Arabidopsis thaliana: one gene and its partner. The protein of the gene in region 2 interacts with the protein of the main gene of each other region in a pairwise test. Each region holds a gene or a part of one and is shown on either strand. Other genes may lie near its edges. The genes, in order: AT1G72570 and PUCHI.

What was found.
Region 1: the proteins of PUCHI (region 2) and AT1G72570 interact in a two-hybrid assay, tested with the Arabidopsis thaliana proteins (one large-scale study listed by BioGRID).

Annotation. Positions count from the first base shown.
Region 1 is NC_003070.9:27,329,531-27,334,497, reverse strand, and holds AT1G72570 (Integrase-type DNA-binding superfamily protein), read right to left. Parts: upstream 3,118-4,967; coding exon 3,030-3,117; intron 2,935-3,029; coding exon 2,337-2,934; intron 2,158-2,336; coding exon 2,075-2,157; intron 1,949-2,074; coding exon 1,940-1,948; intron 1,784-1,939; coding exon 1,695-1,783; intron 1,465-1,694; coding exon 1,391-1,464; intron 1,288-1,390; coding exon 1,237-1,287; intron 1,136-1,236; coding exon 1,059-1,135; intron 979-1,058; coding exon 800-978; downstream 1-799. Other genes in the region: AT1G72580 (uncharacterized protein), read left to right, coding at 1-92.
Region 2 is NC_003076.8:6,163,872-6,168,063, forward strand, and holds PUCHI (Integrase-type DNA-binding superfamily protein), read right to left. Parts: upstream 2,170-4,192; 5' UTR 2,035-2,169; coding exon 988-2,034; 3' UTR 655-987; downstream 1-654. UniProt on the Arabidopsis thaliana protein: Probably acts as a transcriptional activator. May be involved in the regulation of gene expression by stress factors and by components of stress signal transduction pathways.

The DNA of each region.
Region 1 (4,967 bases), on a different chromosome or scaffold from region 2:
ATTGTTTGACAAAGATAGGACAGTCATTGCCGCTAAAAGAAGGAGAAAGAGAATTAGTTGAAGTTGAAGTTGATTTCAAGAATATACCCTAATTAAATGTTGAATCATAACAATAACGATGATGGTGATATATGTCATATGTTGGTTCTTTTTTTGTTTCTTGACGGCTAGATATTTGTCCGGCTTTGTAACCGAGCATATAAATAAAATAAAAATTATATAAAAAGTTTTTTTTTTTTTTTTAACATCTGATATTACTTTAGTTTATCTCAAGAAGTCCATAGAAACCTTCAAATTTCCATTGACACCAATTATTTTCACCATGGCATGAGGGAATTAGCTCGATACGGGTTCAAAATTAATCAAACTATCAAAGGCTTGGATGGATTTGATTATGAGTTAAATAAGTTTCACTTAAATTTGTAACGCTTTTCCTTAAAGTACGACCACGACAGAAGAAGGCACACAAATTGAGGAATCGCCTCTCCTCAACTTGGTGCAGTTAATATATACTAATTAATTAACACTTATGTTATGGATCCTGTAAATAATGAATGCATTAACTTTTTTCAATTAAAAATAAAAACGAAATTTAATCAAAGTATATCATAGAGAATAATATATAGTGGATTCTGATAACTTAATTTGCTAAAAAAGTTGTATATATGTAGACCGGCCTCAATTACTTAGGAATATATGTTTATTAAACCATAAATGATTAAACAGACTGGACGAACTTATTTCCTCAAACCAACCGTACGTGGGAATAGTCTCTCCGGCGAGGAGTTTACGGTGTCGGTTAGTGGCCGGCGCCAGAGCTGGTGGGAGAATGTTTGGCCTGGTCGCTATCAACAATCGTTGAGCTTGAACATATCCTCTTCACGTCATATCTATTTATATCGAAATTGGTTACAGCGTTTAGGCCTCTGAATTTAATTGCCGCGATATCGTACGCCTCCGCTGCTTCTTCTTGCGTGCCTTCATCATAGTTACAAAATGTGATATTTAATAATTCAAAGGCTATGATATAATTCCATATGTATAGAAGTGGTTCATACTAAATGTTCCAAGGTACAAGTCCTTGTTTCCAGCAACTCTTCCAATTCTGGCTTGCCACCTTCCATGTTGATGATGCCTACATGAGTTATACATGCATGATCATCATGATCTAATTCCATGCATGTACATGTACATATATAAATATATACAAGTTTCACATATATGTCCAAATCAAACCTTGTAACTCCTCTATACACGGAAGCTCCCCTCGAAAACCCGCTGCTATTCCTATGATTATGATATGTAATTACAAAGCGTTTGTTAATGGTTAAATGCATATGACTATATAAGGTCCATAAATATCATTACAAACCCACTGTTGAGTAATTACCTCCTCAACATGGCAACAAATTCTTGCCGATTCATGTTATTGAGTTCCTCGATCTCCTTTTCGTAATTACTCAACTGAATAAAAGAGCGTCAAAGGAACTGATATCACAAGCCAAATCTATGTAGTTCCATCAAAATCAAGTCAATAAAATCGGAAAATGATTACATTCAAGATCCAAAATATCGAAATAAGTATGGAAACTGTTATGTTGCATGTATATAAGTGTACATATATAAAACACACTTGCATGTAATAAAGGAGTTAGAAGTGGAGCTAGGTACGGGACCAGAAAGATCAAACTCACAGGGAAATTTAAGTGAGTGGTAGGACCCCAATACTTCAGAGCCGCTAAATCATATGCCCTCGCTGCTTTCTCCTCCTCATCATACCCTCCTATTTTAGTAAGTATTAATTCTACTATTAAATGTTTTTCTATAATTATCAGAAGGTAACAAGGTTAATTTTTACTTCGAAGGCCAAAAATAGGGCAACAAGAAATGAACGAGGGATCTCATGCATAATAGGTTGTAAAATAAAGTTCTGGCTTACCAAGATACACTGTGATTGATCAAGAAGCGAATTCGAAAGTACATACGAAGCCAAAATTAAATAATTGTTAGTAAGATTATTGATGCATGATAGCATATTGAATCGGAAAATTATTTTGTATTTGTTTTTTCTGACCTTGTCTTCCTCTCCTTGTCTGTCCCTCCTTCTTACAGCTATTATCCCATAAGTGAGCTTCATATCTCCCTGTCCATCTATGCCTGTATACACGCACAACATAAATATGTGTCGACACAATTATACATAATCTACAAAATAAAATGACAAATATACATAAGTAACATAATTGTGGCATTCACATTTTTCTTACGTGTAAGTTTGAGACATCATTTAAACCAAAACAAATGTTTGAGACGTCATTATTTAATAACGTACGTACCTTGTAACTCCACGATACTGAGAAGTTCTTTGTCCATAACTATCAACCGACTTCCGAGGAACGGATTCCTTTACCTGAGGTTTAACAACCAATCTCTTCCGCTTCTCATCTACCTTAACCGGTTCTTCGACCCGTGCGGATACATTCGATTCGTTGATCAAATCAGAACAAGCCCCATGGCTCAAAGCCAATGATAGCATTGAGCCATTGGTGTTATAACCAGTCTCTTCGTTACTAAAATGACTAATATTATTGCTCGTACCAGCCTCTTCAGTAACGTAATGACTCGAGAGTGGGAATGCTGGAGTGCCTTGCTCTAACCAAGATTTGAAAACCGAGACCGAACCGACCCTCTCAAAACCTCCATAATCATTGCTAAGGTTCGGATCTAGGTTCGGGTAATGTGGTGTAACTACGGTTTGGTCGTGGAGAAGGTAACCGGGTGGGTTTAACCTGTTAACCACAGTGGTGCAGTTGACATTGGTTTGGTTATGGTTTATAGGATACTCGGTTTGATGAGAGTTTGAGAGGAGATCTTCCACCTTTGGAACGTCTTCATCATGATGATGATGATCAAAGTTAATATCATATCTCCAAACTACACATAAAATAGAAATCAAATTAAGAATATTAATAGTGGCCACACCAACAACATATATATACCAGGGGGATGATGTGTGAAGAAGAGAGTACCATCGGAACCGTCATGCCTAAGTTCTTCTTCTTCACTATTGCAGATTCTCAAAGGAGGTGTCAATGAAAATCCCAACCATTTCTTCATCTCTCTCTCTCTCTCTAGCTGTCTTTCTCGCTCTTAGTTTATATGTATAGGGTTTCGTTTTATATGATTTGTAGTCTCATACGTGCGAATATACATTAATATTTTTCATAAGTCTAAAACATTTAATAAATTATATAATTAAAAAGGTGGAAAAAAGATTTGAGACAAAACAGGTGGCGGTGAAGTTTTGTCGTAAGCATGAAAGAAAGGAAGAGGAAGTTTCTCTCTCCCTCACTCTTTCACATTCTCTTTCACACACACTTGCATCTGACTTCTAGAGTTTTGTGCCCACTCTCCCTCGGATCTTTTCGATGTATACGTATATATATATGGGAGATACACATGACACACTACAATGAAAATTTTCGTTCTTTGGTATTTGATTAACTTTTCCGTAAAAAAAGCACACAGTAGCGCTTAAAAAAGTCAGTATTTTGTTTCTTTCGAAATATGTTAATTAGACAATAATACATTTCTTTTATTAATGTCTTTCTTTCGATATAATTTGGGATATTTTTTAATAAACTTAAAGAACATTACATAATTTAAAAGTAAACAAAATTTGTACTAAAATTAGTAGTATTGCAAGGAAATTTCTCCTTAGACGATAAAAATGTGTTTTTGATTGCTCATTCAATCGATCCGTTTGAAAATGATTCTAACTGTGATGGAGAAGCCTGAAATGATCTTGCTGTTTTCGCAGATTAGACAAAGATCAATCTAAAAGATAAAAGATATATATAGCTGGAGTGTTTGGCAATATGCTATCTAACTCATAAAATTTGCCTCAAGTGTGAGAAGCGGATAATGTGACGGTATAACCTTTGAAAACAGACACACAAAATATGATAGAACAAAAGAATAAGTGATCTCTCTTATTTGGTTGATTATATTGCATATGTTGCTTATAGATAGAAAATGAAATTGTGTTCCAAGCTGTTAACCAAGACTTAGTGGGTAGTTTGTCCATACTCGCCACCCACATAACGAAATGTCGTTCTACACAAAAAGCCACAATTGTTTTCTTTAACAACTGAAAAATGAATTTGTGATTTTATATCTTGCTACGGGCATCGGAAATATTCCAACCTCTTCTACGAGGTAATCGACAATGCCATTACAGAACAAACCTTTTCTTACAATTACCTAGTTTGTAGTATACAAAATAAAAATCGAGAGGTCTTAGCTACAGAAGTTGTCTCCATGAATAATTTCACAGTAAGTAGTTTAGTTATATGTATTAATGTGACAATTTGTTTTATAAAACATTAGATTAAGAAAGTGAAAAAACACCATTATATTTGCTAACTCACAAAACATTTATACATGTCTATCTTAATCTATCAGTATGCAACACCTAAGGCCTAAGGTGAGAGAGATTCAAGCCCATGGGCTGATTTACTGAATTCAGATGACGGTTAATTTTCAATTCGCTGGCAATAATATTTATAGTTCTCTGGGAAAATATTCTGCAAGCTAATAAAAATCTGTGTATAAAAAAAAAAAAACCCTACAGCTCCGTCTTCTCTCCAGTCTCACAATTTTCCTCATATTTATAAATCCGTAAGGGAAATTTTCTAGAAACTCACCAAAAAAAAGTATTCTTTGAATTCAAAGAGAAACCCAAACTAGGGTTTCCATAATCCCTTTTCTACTATATCTCCCACTCTCATAAATCCGATCGCTAAAATCGCCACGATCCTTACTTTCTGGTAAGCTCTCAAGCGAAACCCACTAAAAGTTTCGTCTTTTTCTTCTTCGCATCAAAATCTGATAAGGGAAGAGAACAGTGAAGGAGAGAAGCTAGCTGACGATACTAATTCAAGGCATTGTTTGACTTGTATGCAACA
Region 2 (4,192 bases):
ATCGTTATATATATTGACGCATGCAAAACAGATAATTAACAATACAAATTTCAGTAACTATTTGGAAGTTATTTAATTTGAAGCTAGACAAATTGTGAAGCATATATATATATGATGAATTCCCAACGTATATATGTTTGACTAGTATAACAGGATTGGATCTTTGTTGAGTTAACAAAAAAAGTGTATAGTTGATCAACATTGGAGAAGGCACTAATTGAGTTCTATGAAAGAAAGTCAAAAACCTTAAACAGATTTAAAAATGAAATAAAGAGTTGTGATGTTGAGTTGTTGTAGACAAAAGTTAAGGCAAAATATAGGCAAAAGGAGGGAGACATGAAACAGTGATTGTGCAATGAAATACCAAACAAGTCATGACCAAAACACATGTTTAACGACCAAAAACACCATCATGCTACTTCACTAAAAGTCCATCTCACATTCACTAATTTTAAATTTTAAATTTTATAACTTAGACTCTCAATTATGTTATAATTCAAACTAACGTCAAAATTTATAACTGTCATAAAATAATCATAATATCTGAGCACATACTGATCAAAAATAGAAAAATGGGGTATTTGCATCTGATCTTATAATCCTAATATTACATGTGATATATTAGTTGTTCACTCCGATCCTAGTCATTTATCCGTTTGGAGCAAGTCATTTGATTTCATTATTATTATAATATAGCACACTTATAAAATATACATAATGAGTGTGTCGAAGTAGCATGGACAAAAAGTGGTCTTTAATACAACTCGGATTATCCCTTTTTGCTAATCAAAACCATAATACAAATTAAAGAAAAAACAAATCAAAACTTCAAGGTAAGGTAACCTTATGATGCATGAAACAATAAGCAGGATTTATATAATAAAGTCGATAACATATAGTTAACAACAACAATCAAACGACCATCGAATAACGTAAATACTAATAATATTATTGCATATATAAAAAACATATATAATATAGAATGTTCTAAAAGACTGAGTAGAAGCCTGTAGTGTCTGCAACGACATCTCCAAAAGCAGCGATAGAAGAAGAAGATAAATCTTGCGGCTCCATCATCCCGTAATCTTCCATTGACATTGAAGCGGCAGCAGCACCATAGTTCGTGATCATGGCAGAGAGATCACACGAACCAAACTCATGATGATTCATCATCATCATCTCACCATCTTCGAAGTAGCTATTACTAAACCCTCCATATGGTTCAGAGGCTTTGCTTGCTACCGGAGTTGTGAAACTAGCTCCGGCTTGATTTTGGGTGGTGGTGGCCTCCGGAGGTGGTTTAAGGCAGTGGTTTGGGACAATGCAATCCAAGTAACCCGAGTTGTTATTGGACTTATTATGTTCTTCGCTTGTTAAAGAGAAGAAGAAGTTGTTTTCTTCGTCTAGTGAAGAAGATAACGAGCCGTTAGAAGATGAGTTTTGAGGACTATTACCAAACGCTTGAATATCCACGCTTTGATGACGAACTGGCGTTTTGAAAGAAGCCGCGGGTAAGACAGTTTGGGGGAGAGTGTGTTTAGGTTGTTGTGGTTGATGATAGTTTTGATAATGAGGATGATGATCGATGACAAACTGTGGAGAAGAGTTTGGTAAGAAAGATTGGTTGTTATTGTAAGGAGAGACAATGAGAGAGTGGAGATTAGGGTTTGTGAGGATGGTGTGGACATCAGTTGGAGTGTAGACGAAGTTGGTTCGAGCTTGAGTACCTCTCATTGAAAGAGCAGCTCTATCGTAGGCAAGAGCAGCTTCGTGAGCTGTGTCGAAAGTGCCTAGCCAGTGACGTTCTTTGGTGGTTGGATCTCTTATCTCGGCTGCGTAACGACCCCATGGACGTCTCCGGACTCCTAGGAACCTCCCTGGCTCCGCTTGCTTTGATCTCCGGCCTCGTCTCTCGCCGGTTGTGGTGGTGGTGGTTGTGTTGGCGGATGTGTTTTGGTGGATCAGAGCAAAACCCATTTGCGTTTGGGATGTTTCAAATGGTTTATTATGGTCTAGGGTTTTGGAGGTTGACATGATGATGAAGAAATGGTTTTTTTGAAAGGAGGTTTCTTTTAGGGTTTTGGTTAAAGATATCTTATGATGAGTAAGTTTTTTTTTGGCTTTGCTTCTGTCTAAAGATGATGGTGCTGTTTGAGAATGGAAGTGAAGTGTTGTTATAAATAGAGAGACAATGAGCTTGATAGAGAGAGAAGATAGAGAGACTTCACTTTTGATTCAACTGCTTTTAGTAGACCATCTTTTGTTTTGTTTCTTTTATTATATTTCCAAAGATATTATATTTTGCATCAACGACAAAAAAAACAAAAAAAAAAACGCTGACACATTAGTTGGATTTTTATATGGCTTAACCAGCTGAAATAAATTCATACAAATTTTAAACAGCTTAATTGACTGATTATTATTAAGGGTTTCTTTTTTTAAAACAGTCTTAATTTTAACTGTGTGTACAGTATATATATGTATGTATATACACGGATGGCTACTTATGAAAGCCTAAAACAGAGGCCAAGAATCATTGGAACTACAGCAAAATCTGGAATGTCACAGTAACCAATCTCGAGTTAGAAGAAAGAACAAGTAATAAATACATACTAAGTACCGAGTAACTTAAGAAAAGTAATTGTGATGTATATATTGCATCATCCTATTTGAATCTTCTATTTCAATGGGATCAAGCTAATTGATTAACTCAAATAATCTACTTAGTGGTCACGTGCAACATGCATAATAACCCTACATACCTTAGCCTAAAGGTCAAGGGTCTACGTAAAAATAATCGATATATTTCTTTAGGTTAAATCCCCTACTTAATTGATATATCCTTGAGATGATATGCATGCATTGCTAATTACGATAAGGATGTCCAATTAATTTGAGTGCACTGAGGTAGGTTCGATAATGTTATTTTCTAACACAATATATCAACAATTCAAAAATAAATATATTTCAAAATCAGTGTTAGTTTCTACAACCCCTGATCAAATCACATGGTTACCCGCATTTTAAGCGGAAATAGAAATGAGAACAATTTTGTCACCTTGTTCTGATTTTTCAATGGGAGTGGTTTAGAGAAAGACACGATGAACTAAACAAAAATTAAAATGCTTAGGAAGTACGTATAAATTTGGTTTTAATTAAATAGCTCAGTGGACAATTTTGTATTGATGTCCTTGTATGCAAAGTTGCAAACAAGCACAAGTCAACAACAATCTTAGTCTCTTTGTGTTTGTAGTTTTGTAGGATTATATATATATACATAGGAGCTTCGTCTATTTTCATATATGATTGCATTAGGAAGTTAATGCCTTACCCGACAACAGTTCTATTGATGAATCAAGAAAATTGCTCATAGTCAACGATAACACGACTGTTAAGTAAGAGTTCAAAGAAAAACAGAACAATTAGAAGATGACTATGAGCTCTAATCAAACTCTGGATTATTTAGTTTAGAGACTTTAATCAAACTTTTCAAAAGAGTAAGAACACTTACGTTTCAGTCATTGTGGAATTTAGATTGATATTTTTATGTATTCCATGTTCGAAAAAATGTATAATTAATAGAACGTTCTAGTTAATAAGAGAGTACATATTTTCATTAACTAATTAGTCTTGGGAAGAATACATATACAAAAATTCTTATAGTAGAACTCAATAAAGGCAAACATATAGATTTGGTGTGATAAGCTTTGATCTGTATTGAAATCTTTTTGGTTAAGTGTTAGTCTGTTAGATAATCTTTAGTATATCTAATTTGATGATGTTATAAAAGGCTAATGCTCATATATATGGATAAGTTAGTACTTTTGGTGTGAAGTACGTAATATGCAAGTATATATTAGCCTTTTTAGCAAAAACTTACGTAAATATATACGAGCATTAATAGAAATCCTGCAAATGACTACACAAGTTTTTGTAGCAAAAACAAATACTACGTCATATAAGCCACGTAAACCAACAATCAAATTAATTAGATTTGAATGAATACCTTGCCTTTTTAACCGAATGGGCTACGGTACAAAAGTGTGATGGACTCCTTGTATTAAGGGTTGGAAATGTGACGATTCTTGGTAAAGCTTTTTGCACATTGCTTAATGGCATTGGGAATGAAAATTATAATTCTTTTTTCATAGTATAAATGAGTCAAACTATTAATACTATAATATATGATGAT